Saccharomyces cerevisiae S288C: one gene and its partners. Changing the gene in region 3 together with the main gene of any one other region gives a genetic interaction. Each region holds a gene or a part of one and is shown on either strand. Other genes may lie near its edges.

What was found.
Region 1: mutations in VBA4 (region 3) and CUL3 together harm fitness more than expected from each alone (negative genetic interaction), as found in Saccharomyces cerevisiae (one large-scale study listed by BioGRID).
Region 2: mutations in VBA4 (region 3) and ATG42 together harm fitness more than expected from each alone (negative genetic interaction), as found in Saccharomyces cerevisiae (one large-scale study listed by BioGRID).
Region 4: mutations in VBA4 (region 3) and YPL264C together harm fitness more than expected from each alone (negative genetic interaction), as found in Saccharomyces cerevisiae (one large-scale study listed by BioGRID).

Annotation. Positions count from the first base shown.
Region 1 is NC_001139.9:498,628-503,320, forward strand, and holds CUL3 (cullin CUL3), read left to right. Parts: upstream 1-1,504; coding exon 1,505-3,739; downstream 3,740-4,693. Other genes in the region: SWC4 (Swc4p), read right to left, coding at 1-1,279; PEX31 (peroxisome biogenesis protein), read left to right, coding at 4,311-4,693. UniProt on the Saccharomyces cerevisiae protein: As part of the CRL3 E3 ubiquitin ligase complex; polyubiquitylates monoubiquitylated RNA polymerase II subunit RPO21 to trigger its proteolysis; plays a role in global genomic repair.
Region 2 is NC_001134.8:513,877-518,093, reverse strand, and holds ATG42 (carboxypeptidase C), read right to left. Parts: upstream 2,431-4,217; coding exon 904-2,430; downstream 1-903. Other genes in the region: GTPase-activating protein IRA1, read left to right, coding at 1-744; YBR138C (uncharacterized protein), read left to right, coding at 2,758-4,217. UniProt on the Saccharomyces cerevisiae protein: Vacuolar serine-type carboxypeptidase involved in vacuolar zymogen activation, breakdown of the autophagic body, and autophagosome-dependent protein synthesis.
Region 3 is NC_001136.10:686,502-691,487, forward strand, and holds VBA4 (Vba4p), read left to right. Parts: upstream 1-1,725; coding exon 1,726-4,032; downstream 4,033-4,986. Other genes in the region: APC4 (anaphase promoting complex subunit 4), read left to right, coding at 1-1,339; COX26 (Cox26p), read left to right, coding at 4,513-4,713. UniProt on the Saccharomyces cerevisiae protein: Transporter required for vacuolar uptake of basic amino acids.
Region 4 is NC_001148.4:42,783-46,716, reverse strand, and holds YPL264C (uncharacterized protein), read left to right. Parts: upstream 1-2,372; coding exon 2,373-3,434; downstream 3,435-3,934. Other genes in the region: KEL3 (Kel3p), read left to right, coding at 211-2,166; DIP5 (dicarboxylic amino acid permease), read right to left, coding at 3,848-3,934.

The DNA of each region.
Region 1 (4,693 bases), on a different chromosome or scaffold from region 3:
TGGCGAGAATTTTGTTCTGCAGCGCAGGTTTGAAGGTCGATAATTTTGTAGATCTTAAGTATACACCCGGCGATAGCTTCTCACCATGCGTAATCACACCTAAAGCCTTCCTTTCATCTGAATTGAAATCTTTCAGCAATTGTTCTGCATATGCGCTTTCTGACTTTCTTTTGAGCGCCGTTTGCATTTCCTGTCTTTGTCTTTTGGTTTTCTTGGGGGAGAGATTTTCCTTGACTTCTGACTTTTTTACATTCAGTTGTTGAAGTTGCCTATGTTGGGCAAACTGCTGTTGCTGCTTCATCCAAGGATTTTCAGGGATGTTCAAATCGTGCTTCCGCTTTCTAGTTTTATCTGCTAGAAGCGCGTTATATAACTGAGACATTCCCTGAGAGGTAAGGTATTGTGTAATTGTCTGATCTGAATGTGGCGAGTCCAACAGTCGGAGTAATGATTCTCTTTCTGCAAGTGTTCTCTTGGCAGCCATTTCAAATTTTTTGGACTCTACTACGAGTGCCTCTTCTTCAGCAATTTCTGCTGCAGAACGAGAAAGAAGACGCTGTAAATACTTTTTTCTCTCTATCTCCTTTTCAGCTGAAAAATTCAAAGAAGATAAAAGCGGATTGCTAGGATCACTTGCTTTAAAATAATTCCTACAGGTGTAATAAAATTTTTCTTTGAGATCTTCAAGTGTTCTTGAATTATTATAACTGTATCTGTCAAAGATCAGGAACCAACGTAAATCGTATTTTTTGCAGAGATTGAACAGGTATTCTATTTCTTCAAAAGACCAGCTATTTTTACTTTCATCCTTCTTTTCATTAGTAAAGTTTTCGTTATGGTTTTTTTCACTTTCTACGCTTTTTTGAGTTCCTTCGTTTTCATTCATAAAAGCCTCGTACTCCTCCTTGGTGAATGATGGAATAGATAAATGCTGATTGAACTTAGAATATGGCGATTCTTTTGGTGTGTCTCCTATTAATTCTTTGGAACCCTTGACCCAATGACGCAGAGTCACAGAGTTATTAGCTTTGAACTCTACAAATGACCAAGGAGATGGCTTGGACGTCGAAAGCATTTTTTCTTTAAAGTTATTTCCAGACTTAATAACAACGGGGGGTTGGTTCTCTCCTAGCAGGTTAAATAGTTCTCTTTGCATGCCCGTCACTTGAGGCTTGGGCCGGTTGGCTGCCGAGGACGAAGGCACTGATACCTGGCCATTAGTTGGACTTCTGGATTTTTGCTTAATGTTTAGTACATCAAAGATGTCTGATGATGACATATTACCTGTGGTTTTTTTACTAAATTTTCGTATTATCGGAGAAATATGTTATGAATGCTTGTTGCTATTAAAATACAAAGTGGATTCTTGATTTATCACTAAATAGCTACCCGGAGTTGGCGCATCGCAACTTCATTAAATAAGTTCGAGTGTGCGTATTCTAATCTGATTCATATAAAGTATACTCTAAACGGGCTAACTCAAATCTGAAATTAGGGCTACTATATGATAACTAATAAGAAAATAAAGATAAGTGTCCCAGAAAAACTCGGTTTGTCAGAAGAATCTTTTGAGGAATCCTGGGAAACAGTTAAATATGCCATTGATCATATATACAGCGATGACATGGCCGACCTTTCCTTCGAACAAGTGTACAAGACCATTTATACTATCGTTTTAAATAAAAAGGGGCCAATACTTTATAACAGATTGAAAGATTATTTAATCCAAAAATTAGCGCTTTTGAGGGAAACGATAGTCAAGGACAATACTCATGATTATGAGTTTCTTGGAACTATGGCACGGTTATGGGAGGTGCAATGCCATTGTTTTAAAATAACGGGAGACTTAATGATGTATATGGACAAAGTTTATTGCAAACCAAATAGATGCATGGAGGTATACGACATGTGCCTCGATCTTTTCCGAATCGAAATATTGCAAAAATGCTCATCTTCTCTCATCTCAGCACTGATATCTGATATAGAAAGGATTCGTAATTTAGGATCTGTCGACTCCGAACATACTAGTTTGTGGAAAGTACTAATAGGAATGATGGAGACATTACATGACAATAGAGATAGTTTTTTCTTAACCGATTTTGAGCCGGTTTTGATTAGCGCGACAGAAGAATACTACAATAAAGCTATTGATATTGAATTATTAACGCCAATTGAGAGCCTGGAAAAGATTAGGAAGTTAAGGCAGTTTGAAAGTATGCTAGACTCCTCTTTTCTAAATGTGGATTCTCATAATAAGTTGAAGACTGTATTAGAAAATGTCCTTATATGGGGAAAGTTGAGTGATATTATTGAAGATCTAACGCACGAAGCAATGGTAATTTCAAATGGAAAGCTACTCCAAGAAATTTATGACTTGTCAAGCGAGGAAAAATATCGCGTTACTGTCATTGAATCTATTAAATCTTACATCAATAAAAATGCCATAAATATTCCTTTTAATGAAGGTAACCGCAAAAAAGGGCAGAATGCGATTACTTGGTCTTCGGAAATTGTAGAGCTATATCGCAGTCAACACTCGTTTTTGGAAAGTATTGATTTTGGTTCTGTTCGTCTTAATAATTTGACCGGGGATGTATCTAATGCAATACTTGGCGATGTTTTCTCAATGTATTTCTCTAAAGAAGGAGCATTACCATCTGAGTATCTTTCTACCTACGTGGACCATTGTATGAAACGAACCAAGGAAAAAGATGCTGAAATAGTGAAGATCAAGCAAGATTTGCTTGATAGTACCAAATTAATCGGACTCCTAACTGAGAAGGATATATTTGAAAAGATTTACAAAAAACAACTCTCCAGAAGATTACTGCAGCAGAGGTCTTTAGTGGAAATTGAAAAATGGATGGTGCAAATGATAAAGAAGGTTCTAGGAACTTTTTTTACCTCAAAATTGGAGATAATGCTGCGAGATATATCTTTATCCTCTGAAATGTATCAAGCATTCCAACACTCAACAATCAACAGCATAGAATATTTGAGTTTTGCACCACAAGTTTTGACGAGAACGAGCTGGCCCTTTCAGAGTACTAATCCAATTGATGAAGGTATTTCACTACCTCCTAGAATGTCACAAATTTTAGCTGGCTTTGAGGGCTATTACAGCTTAAAATACAAAGAAAGAGTGCTAAAGTGGGCTCATCATCTAAGTGTAATTGAAATTGGCTGCCAATTTAATAGCGGTTACTACGAAATAAGTTTTTCTGTTTACGCTGGAGTGATTTTCCTTCTATTTGAAGATTATGAAGAATTAACGTTGGGGGAAATATATGAACTAACTCATATTCCCATAGATGACGTTAAGTCTCTTGTAATGTCAATGTCGACAATACCCAGATGTAAGATTTTGAAAAAATCATCCAGTTCAGGAAATATGAAATTTTCAGTTAATTATTTCTTTTCTTCTCCAAACAGGAAAGTGAAAGTGCCGGTTATTGCATGCCCTCTACCATCTCAGAAATCAGATAATTTGGCAACCGCAAGTTCCGTGGACACTTATGATAATGAAATTGTTATGGAGCTTAGTGCTATTATTGTTCGTATCATGAAAACAGAAGGTAAGCTAAGCCATCAGCAATTACTTGAAAGAACTACGAAACGGACACAGTCTCGGCTCAGTCTTACACCGAGCATTTTGAAACGAAGCATTCAGCTTTTAATAGAGAAAGAATACATCCAGAGAAACGCAGATGACCCCTCTTATTACCATTACCTTTCCTAATTGCTTATAATGAAAATCACAGGTATAAGGTTTGCAGAATGCCAACAGTATATATAGATGGCAGTTCCTATCCGGCTGCCAGAGCGAACAATATTAAGAGGATATGCGTCGATACTAATTGAATGTTCATCCTGCATTCCTTAGTGAAACTTTCAAAATATATAATAACATAGTTATGGTAGACTATATATCCCAGTCAAACTTGAATGTAATGTGGAGTGGGTAATCGATATCTCTTGAAGTTTATTATGCCTCATTATATTTTTATAAAAAACTTCTAGGAATTTGTTGAGTCAAATAATTTCTTTCTTAATCATTAAGTAAGTTAAAGTTACGAGCCTTTCAGACCTGCGTAGCACTGCTTCAAAGGAACTATTATCAATAGCAGCGCCTTGCTCTTTTTTTTTTTTCAGATGCTTAGCGGCCGTATTTCACTTTTCCTGGTAGAAAAATATATGTTGAAATTTACGGTATAAGAGAAGCTCACCAAAATTATTATCAATAAAGCGGCACTTTTAAATTTGGTATTCTTCCCTGGTTGTCAAGCCTTGGTTTCCCTTTATTTGATAGTATGAGCGAAATAAATAATGAAAATCTAGAGCCAACCTCAAGTACAGTAGCTGAGTCTACAGAAAGCAAGAATAAACACATTCGTAGCGCTTTAAGAAAACGAAGAGGTAAATTAAGCGCCCAAACTTATGAGGAAGATCAAGAGGCTATTTTATCATCTCCTTTATTGACTTCAACACCTAAAACAGTCTCCAGGTCATTAGTGAGGTTATACCCATATTTAATTGTTGTGGATAACTTTCTAAGTATCATCACTTGGTCCAATGACAATGTCTCTGCAAACTTGCTTGGAATATTCTTATTTACGGTTTGTGTTCTATATTTTGGATTTATTACAAGGTATTTTGGACATTTAATGATCGTTGGTATAATATGGGTATATCT
Region 2 (4,217 bases), on a different chromosome or scaffold from region 3:
ATATGGAACGAAGATAATTTTCCTCATATTATTTTAGGTTTCATTGCAAACGGTTTATCCATTCCTGTCGTAAAAGGAGCCGCATTAGATTGTCTACAGGCCCTTTTCAAGAATACATATTACGAAAGAAAGTCCAACCCAAAATCCTCCGATTATCTTTGTTACCTTTTCTTACTCCATTTGGTCTTAAGTCCTGAACAACTTTCTACCTTGTTACTTGAAGTCGGCTTCGAAGATGAACTGGTACCTTTAAATAATACACTAAAAGTGCCACTTACTTTGATCAACTGGCTAAGTTCAGACTCAGATAAATCTAATATAGTCTTATACCAAGGAGCACTTTTGTTTAGCTGTGTTATGTCAGACGAACCATGTAAATTCCGTTTTGCTCTATTGATGAGGTATTTGCTCAAAGTCAACCCTATTTGTGTATTCAGGTTCTATACGCTGACTAGAAAGGAATTCAGGAGGTTATCAACCCTAGAACAATCATCTGAAGCGGTTGCTGTCTCTTTTGAATTGATTGGGATGCTTGTTACACACAGTGAGTTTAATTACCTAGAGGAATTTAATGATGAAATGGTCGAACTTTTAAAAAAGAGAGGCTTGTCAGTTGTGAAGCCTCTGGATATTTTTGATCAGGAACATATAGAAAAGTTAAAAGGAGAGGGTGAACATCAAGTGGCAATTTATGAGAGAAAAAGATTAGCAACAATGATACTGGCAAGAATGTCGTGCTCCTAATTTTAAATTAGAGTATTGCAGTGATTATATACGTTTTTCCTTATAATTATATTTTGTTTTATATTTGTTGGATTGTAGATTTTAAATTAAATGAAACGTAGAGATTTGTGTAAAGTATAATGATTGCAAGGTTAAGAGTGAAACATTTTTAGAGCACTACTAACTAGCATTTTCCAAGGTGGAAAGATCCGAAAAAGCACGATTACCGGAAATCCAACTGTTGACCATTTCCAAACTTGCCTCCGGTTGATCATAGGGCACCATATGACCGGCATCGTATATTCTCAAAAAGGTGAAAGGGCCATAGTTCTTGACTTGTCCCAACTCTTCACCTGTTTCTTTACTGACCCATGGTCTTAACATCCTTCTCTGATACCTACGTTTATTGATCCATTCCAACTCATTGGACCAAGCATGGTTTCCCAGCCAATTACAAATATAATCCTTATCACCCGCATATATTAATACCGGAATGTTGTGATTTAATAATTCAGCAATATATTGTTGAAATGGTTTACTTCCATCGCCCGTAAACAAAAATCCGGTGAACACGTCATTATCACAGCCAGAATAATTATGCACGTCGGACCCTAGCGTTTCTTGAACTTCAGGAAAATTCATATACTGGTCGACATAGCGGAGACCTGTATAACACATACCATCAGTACTATTATCTTCACAGGGCCCTCTAATGTCATAGACGTTGAGTCCTGTGTTAATGTACGGTTCCAAAAGTGCAGAGTCACAGTAAGCAGTGGCGACTATGCATGGTAAACTTGATTTAGAAGCATAACATAACTTGTTCAACCTACGACAACGACCTGCAGCTTTACTCATTTTCTCACATTCTTCTGATGAGAGAACAGGGTGATAGCCCCCTTTCCCGCATGCCATTGGTTCATAATAATCTGCTTGAATCAAAGGGTCTGTGATACCATTACCAATCATAACTGAAGTTAAATTGAACGTTCTTTCAGGGTTCTTGACAACGATCTCATGTGCAATTTGAGGGATATAATGTCCTGCATAGGATTCGCCTGCAATGTGGAAATCGTTGGAGCGTAAATGAGGAAAAGCTTCAAAAAACAATTCCAGGAAAATGTACGCATCTTTGCCTGCTAATTTTGTAGAGGAGACTTTTTCATCACCATAGGAAAAGCCGACTCCGAGTGGCTGTTCTAAGAAGATCATTGAAGCGTTATTATTCCAAGAATAGGGATTGTGGATTGGTTTCATATCGGCGCCAATTGATGAGGGGCCTAGTTCAAATAGCAACCCAGTAAACGAGGAACAACCAGGTCCACCATTTAACCAAAGAATAATTGGGTCGTTAGCAGGATCGTTCCTACTTTCAAAAAACCAGTAAAAAAAGTGTTTGGAATCCTTATAGTCCATGTAACCCGACCATTGTTTTACGGTGTCAATTCCTAGTTTAGAAGGATCTACTGTTCTAAGTCTCAAACTGTAATCTGTGTCCACAGAAGAAATAAAAGTTGTAAACAGCGGATCATCGTGATTCAAACGGTCCAATTTAAGGGTTTGCTGTGTATTCTGTGGAAGCTTTAGCTGTTTATCCAAATTGGCAAAGGTGGTATCATCTTCAAAAAGAGAAAAGGCTCGGCCGAATGAGGCGTATTTGATGCTAATAAGAAGCTGAAGCACGAAAACTAAGTTTAGATACTTCATTGTATGTCGGTATCACTTTTTGTATAGCTGTTTTAAAGAAAAAATGCAGGATGACAATTTTCGTTCTTATATAACCCCTGTCCCCTGACATTTTTCGATAACGAAGCGTTATCTCACCTTTCGTAGAATGCTAGCGCCGCCTCGGCCATTTTTAGGAAATTTCCTAAATCGCTCACATTGTAAACAAGAACATCTTAGAGAACTCTAAGCACTTTTAGAAAAAAGGATTATACTAAACGAGTCAAAAACTATTTATCCAACAAGTCACAGATTGGAATAGTCTCGAAAACTTGATCCAACCACTAATTAAAAGGTTAAAATTAAAGGATGGAGAAAGATCAAATCCAGCCTAGGGTGTTGGAGTCAGTAGACACAAACTCATTATCCTTGCTTTCGTCCAATACCAGCTCAAATATGAATAGCAACACCAACAATAAACTCAGTATAATTGCCAGTGATATTTCTACAGGATCCGTACTTTCCAGGCCCTTGACTCCTCCAGTCGTCCAGGATATAGAGAATAACTCCATGTTACAATGGCAATTTGAAAAGAAGGAATTTATCTTCGATAGTAACAGCACTCCTTCGAAGCAGGCAAAACCATTGCAGAGAAATTCTCCATACCAAGGCAATAGTCAAAGTGAAAATCAGAACCAACAGTTATTGAATGTAAGAAAGCGTCGCTCACAATTGATAGGTGCCAAGCCTAAAATTCCATCCAAATTGTACCAATCTGTTTCCAAATTAGATCTAATTGATGACAAGAGCTTTACGTCTTTGCCAATTGCGCCTCCATGCAATATCGAAACTAATGAAGATGACAGTGGAAACAACGAATACAACAACAATAAAAAACGGCCCAGGTTGAATCCTGTAAATGAACTGCGAGTGCATAACAACAAACGTAATAGGTACGTCAGTTATGGGCCGAGTTTAGATACAAAAAACTACGAGCTAACAGAAAATACTTCTCAGGATATACCACCGCTAGTCCTGGTTGAAGACTACATACCGTATACCCAAAGTAAATCAACAAAAAAAATGGTATCTATTTCAGATTTGAAATCAAAACTAAGTAAAAGAAGAGATAATCATATCCCGCTGAGAGTAAAAAATTCATATTCTGAAATTAATAAGGAAACCAATAGAAATAGCTTTGAACCGAATTCACTAACACTGATACCCCATATATTAAGGAATACTGAAGAAAATAGGGACGAAAGTAACAACCCCTTAGATTTTATCAAAGAGGAAATTGAAATAAGTGATATTTCCATACCAAATTCCATTGAAAATATGGTGGTTAACTTGGTTAATATTCCATCTTCCAATAAAAGTTACGATGATCTTTATCTATCGGAATTAAATGTTCATTCCCAACTGAGGAAATGTGTCATCTGCGAAAAGGCCCTATATGAAATTAGCTCGAGACTTTTAAATTCAGGATACTATAAAGAAATTGTATGTGAGCAATGCACAGTTAGATATGAAGAAGCCGCTAAAATCTTTGAGAACTGCGAGTTCGAATCATCTATGGATGAATCAAATCTAAGCAGCGGTACTTTTAGTGATCTAGAGAATTCAGCAGAACCGTTTCATTTATCGACAGATGTTCCAAAAAAAATAAATAGGCACATAGAAGATAACAAGATCGACCTTAAAAAGGAAATATCAAAAAAAAAGGACAGCTTCTCTAAGGAACTAATAGAACGATTGCAGTTGCAATTGCTAGAAAATGATAAGTCAATCAAACATCATTTTAATAAAGATGCAATGGGCTCTAAATC
Region 3 (4,986 bases):
GTGCTTCTATGAGGATGGAACTGTACAAACTTTAAATTTAGGACCTTTATTACAGAGCAAATCATCAGTGAACCTGCTGAATTATATAATGGTAATAAAAGAGCTTATAGGTTATATGCTTACTCATCTCGAGTTCATTAACCGGGAACTGGCAACACCTTATTTAGATTTCGTCAAAAGATTGTGTGATGAAGCCTACGGATATGGCAAACTCAAATCGGAATTAGAAGCCCTCTTTTTACTTGGAGAGATCTCATGTGACTTGGAAGACTGGCTTTGCAATTCAGTAGGTGAGAAGAACTTTAAAAGGTGGAAGTATTTAGGTTGTGAAGCTTACCAAAAAACTGTTCAGATTTTAACTTTAATATTTGTACCCGCATGTGAAAGAATCATTATTTATGTGGAGAAGTTAAGGGCAATATTACAAGCCTTTTCTATACAGAATAAGCTCAGTTATACGTCAGATTTGACAGCTGTTGAAGTGCTCCTAAAAAGTTCACAGAAATTGTTAACTATGACATTAAATTCAATAATAGGCTTGGGGAGGGACGAAACACTTTTTGAGAAGTTTTTCATATGGTTCAACGACAGACTTCATGAAGCGCTAGATGAAGATTATAAACTGAAATTTCAATTTGAGGATGATCTTTACTTTGGATACGATTTACTAAGTTACTTTGACAGAATCTTATCTAAAAAAGGTACGGAACCTAGCTCAATAATCGACGTGAAACTTTATAGAGACCTAATTAACAGCATGTCTGATATGGAAAAAGATATTGCACAAAGTAATGTTAATTCTCATATTCAACAGCATATTCTGGTTGATTTAAAAACGGATGTTTTTGCGCAAAAATATCCATCTTCGCAAATAAATTTGCTTGATGCCATAAAATTACCAAAGCATAATTACATAGTCTACCTTATTCAGGTAACAAAACACAACAGTGCTCAAGAACCTTTCTCAGAAGAAAACAAAAAGAAACTATATATAGGTACTCTGAAAGATGAGAATTTAGGCATTATATCAAAGGAATCGTCAGTCAAGATTCCGGCGCTATTCAAGAGCTATAGGTTGAGCAGTACAAGGTTTGTGCCGAATAGGGTCCATAGCTTGCTTCGGGATATTGGATTGTCAGATAGTAACTATCATAGTAGCCACGTCACCGATTATAGGGGAGAAAACTATGAAAACGAGGAAGATGATGGCACAATAGCTATTCCTGCTTACATCAGGGAGAATAGGGAAAATGATGATTTCATAGCATGCACCGCGAAGGTATCGGTGGATGGAAGAAGCGCATCCCTAGTGTTTCCAAAAGAAAAACAAAATGTTTGACACATAGACAGATGACGAGTAGCTTTTTTTTAGTATTTGCATAATGATCACCAATAATAGTAGTAATGAAATGTAAGCGTAAATAGCGTATGCATCATCTCCCAAGACTTTTCTTTTGTATGGCGCACTATGAAGAAGTTTGGAACCCGCCTGTGGTGTACTGAGAAAAAAAAAAAATTTCAAGGGCCCGCAATCTCAAAATGGAGTCAATTGTGTCAAGTCTTTTTTTTTTTTTTCATCGTTATCTCACTTTTTATTGCTTATCTTAAGATAATTTAGCTGATATACTATATAGAATAGCCGAAGTGTCAGTTTACTCAGATTTTTGCTACTTTTGATTACTTTTTTTTTACATTTTCAAGGTAATTGACGTCGGTTAAGTAGAGATGGGGAAGAAGGATAGACAGCGCAAGAAACTGCGTGAGTTTGCTAAATTGAAAAACAGGCAGCGAAACTTGAGAAAGAGCGTGCAAACATTGAAGAATGAGGTTCAACGAGAGGCTAAAGTCCCAAGAACTTCGAATCAAATTGCTTTAGGAAACGACAAAATCGAAGAGATTAACGAAAATAGTCCATTATTATCAGCTCCTAGTAAACAAGAGGAGGTATCAATTCCGAAAGCGGTTGATATTGATACCATTGATGCACAGCCTCTTCACGAAGGCCCAAAAATTGATGACTCGCCCCAAGATGAGGTCAATAGCATTAAAGGAAAACCTGCGGACAAGGCTAATGAAGACGATCTTAAGCCGCCTTCACAACATGAAGCATGTGGAAATTCAGCTTTGCAAAGCTCTATTACAGATTTTAGTGATAGATCAGTATCACCATTGCAAAGTATTACCAGCTGCAATACTCCGATGAGTGAGCACGAGCTACCAGTATCTTCCTCAAATTCGTTTGAAAGAGCTGATGATATGCCTGTAGTGCAGGCAGATAACCAGACGTCAAGTAGTAAATCTTTGCACATTGTTGCACCATCTCCTGAAGTACCAGTCAGCGGAGATGAAATCACTTCATATGGATATGGCTCTATACCCCAGAGCATCGGGGATGTAGAGAACGGATTGAATCCTCCTTATGTCGAAAATACATCATCTGATGAACTTGTACATGATCTGACGAGAAGACGGATATTTTCATCCTGTATGTGTACTTATTTATTCTTTATTGCAATGGACAGTTCTATAATCCTAGTAATTGCGTCCAAAATTGCTTCGGAGTTTCATGAGTTATGGAGATTATCCTTAGTCATCTCAGCATACCTATTGAGTAATGCTATTGGGCAACTGGTATTTTTGAAGCTATCTTTAATATCCAGTGTAAAATTGTTGTTGTGTATTGCTCAATTCAGTTTTATCCTTGGTGGCTATTTATCTTGGAGTTCTGCCCATTTTTGGACGTTTATCTTTGCCCGTTGTGTCACAGGATTTGGGGGCGGTTCCTTAATAGCGCTCAAAAGTACTATTATGAATCGGTTTTCTCAAAAGAACGACAGTCGGTACTCATTGAGTGCCTCTATGATAACATTTGCTATGGGTGTGGTAATTGGGCCCTTTATGATGAACTTGTTTGATTCTTCTCATGGTAGCGGGTGGAGAAATGCCTTCTTAATACCAGTTCCTTTTTGCCTTGTGAATGCCTCGATTATGCTGGCAGATATGTATTCTGTTAAGAGCACTTTATATGGACGCCCAACGCCTACATTATGGAAAAGATTCAAGAATACTCTATTAAGTCCTGATTTATACGAAATATTGACACTTACGCTATTCCTACTTTGTTTCGTTCAAGTGACCTCATTGGATTTAACAGGGTTAAAGAATAATACGATGATTCAAGCGCTACTATTTTCTGTAATTATCGTTTGTGGCATTTTATTTTTCTTGATAGAGACAAGCGATACTTACATGAACTCTGTAATTTCAATGTCCTTACAAGGTGACAAGCGTTTAATATGGACAATGATAGGAATTTCATTTTGCTTTGCAGCATTAATGTGCATCATCCCATTCGGTACAACGTACTTCATCATTGTTTTAAATTTAAGCACTTTACAACTTGCAGAGAGATTGTCCCCATTCTTTTTCTCCATTGTACTGGGTTACTTTAGTGTTTCTTATTTTTGGAAGTCGAAAGGACAGAATTTTTTGCTAAAATTTGTTTTAAGCGGAGCCACCCTGTTACTATATGTGGCACTTATGGGGGTAAGTTTGAATTTACCAGTATGGAAGCAATATATATGTTTGTCTCTGCCATTTTTGGGCTCCTCTATGATATTGACCTTGCTGTCAAATCTTTATCATGAGTACCATGAACAAAGAAAGTCACCTATCAGTGGTTCTATCGTATATTGTTTCGGTGCCGTGGGGGGGACGGTTGGTATTTCCTTGGGTGGTTATGTCTTCCACAAAACATTAATAAAACTTATGCATGAGAAGGTGATGCCATTTAGCAAGCAAGGTTATCTTAAAAAGGACCTTTTGAAAATTATCAAGCACGCTACGGAATCTTCAGATTGGGTACACGAATCAGCCCCAAAGTTTGTTTTTCAAACTTTGATTGAGTGTTATTTACAAGCATGTCGAAACGTATTCAAACTCTCTACCCTTTTTTTTACGATTACTGTCGTAGCAATATTCATTTTCAACAGAATCCATTGTCGTAGTCAAAATTGTTTGTCACTATCTTGAACCGGTAGATGAAAATGTATACTTTAAATAATACAAATACTTTTTTTCTTTTTTCTTAAACCCGATAATACTTTTGTCGCTTAGATAAAGATGCAGGGAACTTCAATCATTGTGGTGACCGCACAAAGGCGGGATCTGAAAAATGATCGTATGGGGCGGGGGAAGAATAGAAGAGTGAACAAGGGGATATGGTATCCGTGCAAGAAATGAATGGCCAGAATAGCTTGATTTTTACTTGCTGAAAATGCAGCAAGCGGAAACCCCTCTATCAGTAGGCAACCAAAGAAAACATGGTTTTGTTTATGATAGTGTTTTCTCCGACTAAATGACACTTAATATATAAGCCAGTCATTTTTCTTTCATACTTTCCTCTTGCATGACGAAACAATTCTTTTTTTATTTCGTTTCCTTGTCTGTACTTTTTAGACACTTGACCATATCACAGATATTTACAGACTCTTTTAATTCTAAATAGGTAAAATGTTCTTCAGCCAAGTTTTGAGATCTTCCGCTCGTGCTGCCCCAATCAAGAGGTATACAGGCGGTAGAATAGGTGAATCGTGGGTAATTACGGAAGGTAGAAGGCTCATTCCAGAAATCTTTCAATGGAGTGCAGTATTGAGCGTTTGTTTAGGTTGGCCTGGTGCTGTATACTTCTTTAGTAAGGCAAGAAAAGCATGAGTTTGATAAGAAAAAAAAATTTGCTAAAAATGAGTGTAACACTACCAACATGGCGAGTTTAGTTTGATACTAGGCGCTATACATTATTATTTATATGCCCAGAGGTTACAACAGTGGCTACAATGCAAAAAATATACTGGCTTATATTTTTCATTTGAGATCTGGTTCCTCAAATATATATATATATTTATTTATTTTTTACACATACATACTGCCCTCCTGATTACTTTAAACATCTATATTACAAAAGAGAAGCATTCTTTTCCGTCCATT
Region 4 (3,934 bases), on a different chromosome or scaffold from region 3:
TAGTAGTCGCAATAACTGCGGTAGTAGTACTAACATCAGTAAAAGTAACGCTTGGTAGTTTTTCTGCCCGGTTTAACCATTGATTTGATGAAATTGTAGAAAACTGAAAAAAAAAAAAAAAATGAAAAAAAAAAATGATGAGCTTCTCGAAGAATACATTAACCACTTATAGGAAGGAGAAGAGATCTACTAGACTCGTAGAAGTGATTAATGGCAAAGAAGAATAAGAAGGATAAAGAGGCCAAAAAGGCACGTGCTGAACTGAAGAATCAGAAAAACCAAAAAAAGCAGGAGAAAAAGTTTCAGAAGAACAAGAATAAGTCTTTAAACGGCGAAGAAGATGATGAAAGTGATCAAGATCTCGATGAAATTCTCTCTAGCTTTAGCAAAAAGCAAATTGAATTAGAGCATGTAGACATCACTTCTGTGGAAAAACCCTCTTGTCGTACTCATCCGTTGATGTTTGCAAATCCGCAACACAATAAACATGAATTGTTCATTTTCGGTGGTGAATTTACAGATCCAGAAACCAAACTAACACATTTCTATAATGATTTGTATTCATACTCCATAAAGAACAACTCTTGGAAAAAATACGTTTCGCAAAATGCACCTTTGCCCAGATCCAGTGCCGCTGTCGCTGTGCATCCTTCCGGAATAGCACTGTTACACGGTGGTGAATTTTCGTCCCCAAAACAATCTAAATTCTACCACTATTCTGATACATGGCTGTTTGACTGCGTTGAAAGGAAATTCACTAAGTTGGAGTTTGGCGGTAGAGACTCTTCACCCAGCGCCAGATCAGGTCATAGAATTATTGCTTGGAAAAACTATTTCATATTATTTGGTGGATTTAGAGATTTGGGGAATGGTCAAACTTCTTACCTAAATGATTTGTGGTGTTTTGATATCTCAACCTACAAATGGACCAAATTGGAGACAAACAGCAAACCTGACGCTAGATCGGGTCATTGTTTCATTCCTACAGATAATTCTGCCATATTAATGGGTGGTTACTGTAAAATCATTGCCAAAAATAATAAAAATTTAATGAAGGGAAAAATCTTGAATGATGCATGGAAACTGAACTTAACGCCTGATCCAAAGAAGTGGCAGTGGGAAAAATTAAAGAATTTCAAGAACCAGCCCTCACCAAGAGTCGGGTATTCGTTCAATCTATGGAAGCAAAACAAGTCCGTTGCTTTTGGTGGTGTCTACGATTTACAAGAGACAGAGGAATCCTTAGAGTCCGTTTTCTATAACGACCTATATATGTTCCACCTAGAGTTGAACAAATGGTCTAAACTTAGAATTAAACCTCAGCGTCAAACGAATAGTAAAAATTCACCCGCCACAAGTAAAAGAAAATCTAATAAAGATCAAGAAAAGGAACTGCAGGATTTACTAAATTCCATTCTGGCCAAGTCTAATCTAAATGACGACGACGATGACAATGATGACAACAGCACAACGGGTCCTAACTCTATCGATGACGACGAAGATAACGAAGATGACAGTGATTTGGACAACCAAGAAGATATTACCATCTCAAATCAATTACCTCACCCAAGATTTAACGCAGCAACTTGTGTAGTGGGCGACTCGTTGTTCATTTACAGTGGTGTCTGGGAACTGGGCGAAAAAGATTATCCTATAAACTCATTTTATAGTATAGATTTGAACAAGTTGGATGGTGTCAAGGTTTACTGGGAAGACCTATCTGCCATCGAAGAAGCAAAGAGACTAGGTGATAGAGATTCGGACGAAGATGAGTTTGAATACGAGGACGATGAGGAGGATGAGGACGACGGCGAAGAGGAACAAGATGCAGGACCCCTTGAAGGTGATGAAGATGAGGAAAGCGAGAGCGACGATGACAAACAAGCGCAGATGGAGATTCCAGACGAAAGGTCTTGGCTACCACACCCAAAACCGTTCGAAACTTTAAGAGCATTCTACTTAAGGGAAGGTGCAAATTTCTTAACCTGGTCTATTTCTAACAACAGAAACCTTAAGGGTAAACAGTTAAAGACGAAGTCATTTGAGTTATGTGAAGACCGTTGGTGGGAAAGAAGAGATCAGGTGACCCTTGAGGAAGAGCGTCTGGAGGATACAGGCGGAATCATTGAAAGAGATACGACTACTAAACCTTCCAAAAGAAGGTAAACATTTTCGCTTTTGTAGTTGAGTTTAAAAAGTATTTATAGCATTTTTTTTTTTTATAGATATCTGTCTTCCATATGGCATCCTTTTCTTTAGTCACTAATTGAGTCATCTGGAAAAAAAAACAAAGGAGACAGGGAAAATTATCTCATTATTACATTCACGAAAGCTGCCCCAACAGAAAAGTAGAATAAACACCTCCTCTCTCAATGACGCTGCAAAGAATTAGTAAAGATTATCTAAAGCCTAATTATGGACTTATCTTACTTATAGTGTCTTATTTTTTCAATTCTTCTATGGTAGTTTCTACCAAAGTCCTAGAAAATGACCCACTGGAAACTTCGCAATCAAGAATTAATCCTCTGCAAATCCTGCTAGTAAGGATGTCTATCACGTACTGTTGTACGCTAGTATACATGCATTGGAATAAACAAAGTGTTCCAGATATTCCATGGGGCCCAGCACCATGCAGGAAATGGTTGATACTCCGAGGTATAATGGGTTTTTTTGGTGTTTTTGGAATGTACTTTTCTTTAATGTATCTAAGTATAAGTGACGCTGTCTTAATCACCTTCATGTCGCCAACCCTAACCATTTTCCTTTCATTTTTACTGCTGGGTGAGCCATTTAGTAAACTTGAAGCCTTGGGGTCCCTAATTTCATTTTCTGGAGTGGTGTTAATTATTAGACCTACATTTTTGTTTGGTGAGCAGACCCAAGGCCAGCAATCTCCACAAGACGATATTGTTGAGACTCAAAATCCCAAATTAAGACTCATTGCTATCGGGGTGAGTTTATTGGGGGTTTGCGGATTGAGTAGTGTTTACATTATCATAAGATATATCGGTAACAAGGCACATGCCATCATGAGTGTCAGTTATTTCTCGTTGGTTACTACTGTTGTGGCAGCCCTCGGTGTGCTTCTAATTCCCTCGATGTCTTTACAACTGCCTCATTCGTGGAAGCAGTGGGGGCTATTTCTGAACTTGGGTATTTCTGGATTCATTCACCAAATTCTGTTAACAATGGGAATCCAGAGGGAGCGTGCAGGAAGGGGTTCGTTAATGACTTATACTCAAGTTATATATGCTGTTTTCTGGGATGTCGTGCTCTTTCACCACTGGCCAAACATATGGACGTGGTGCGGTATGGCAGTTATCGTTAGTTCTACTATATGGGTCATTAATATGAGAGCCTCCAAACAAAACGTTGTGGCTACTGCCGAGCTACTCTCCACATCGGACTTTGAATTAGATGATTTGGAGGATTAAGTGATACCTGTACACTATGGTTCCATGTTGCAGGTGGCTATATTTGAAAAGTCTCCACATATATGTTAATAAGATCGATTACTCCACAAACAGAAAATAACGAAGACTTGAACTTTTCTTATTTTTATGTTTTTGTTTATATTTTTGAATTTAAACTGTTTTATAGAAATGTATGTAATATATAAATTTTATTTTCCTTGAAAAAATGGGTATTTTTCTTTCTATTTTTTCAAGAAAATCTTCCTGTAAATTAATTATGCAATAATGCTGTGGTAGGACTGGAAATAAAAAATGTTGATAACGATTGTTATTAAAGGTAAAAGAAAAATGATCAAAGAGAAATTCTTGTGCTCATTTTTTTGATTGGATGAATATAGTTTCATGTTGCCCTAAGGCTTTGATTAAAAAGGCATCTAGAAGATATTACCCAAAAATTTTTCATAGAACCACTCCATATTTTTACCGTTACTTTTTAAACGCTCTTCCTTTTCTTGGTCCTT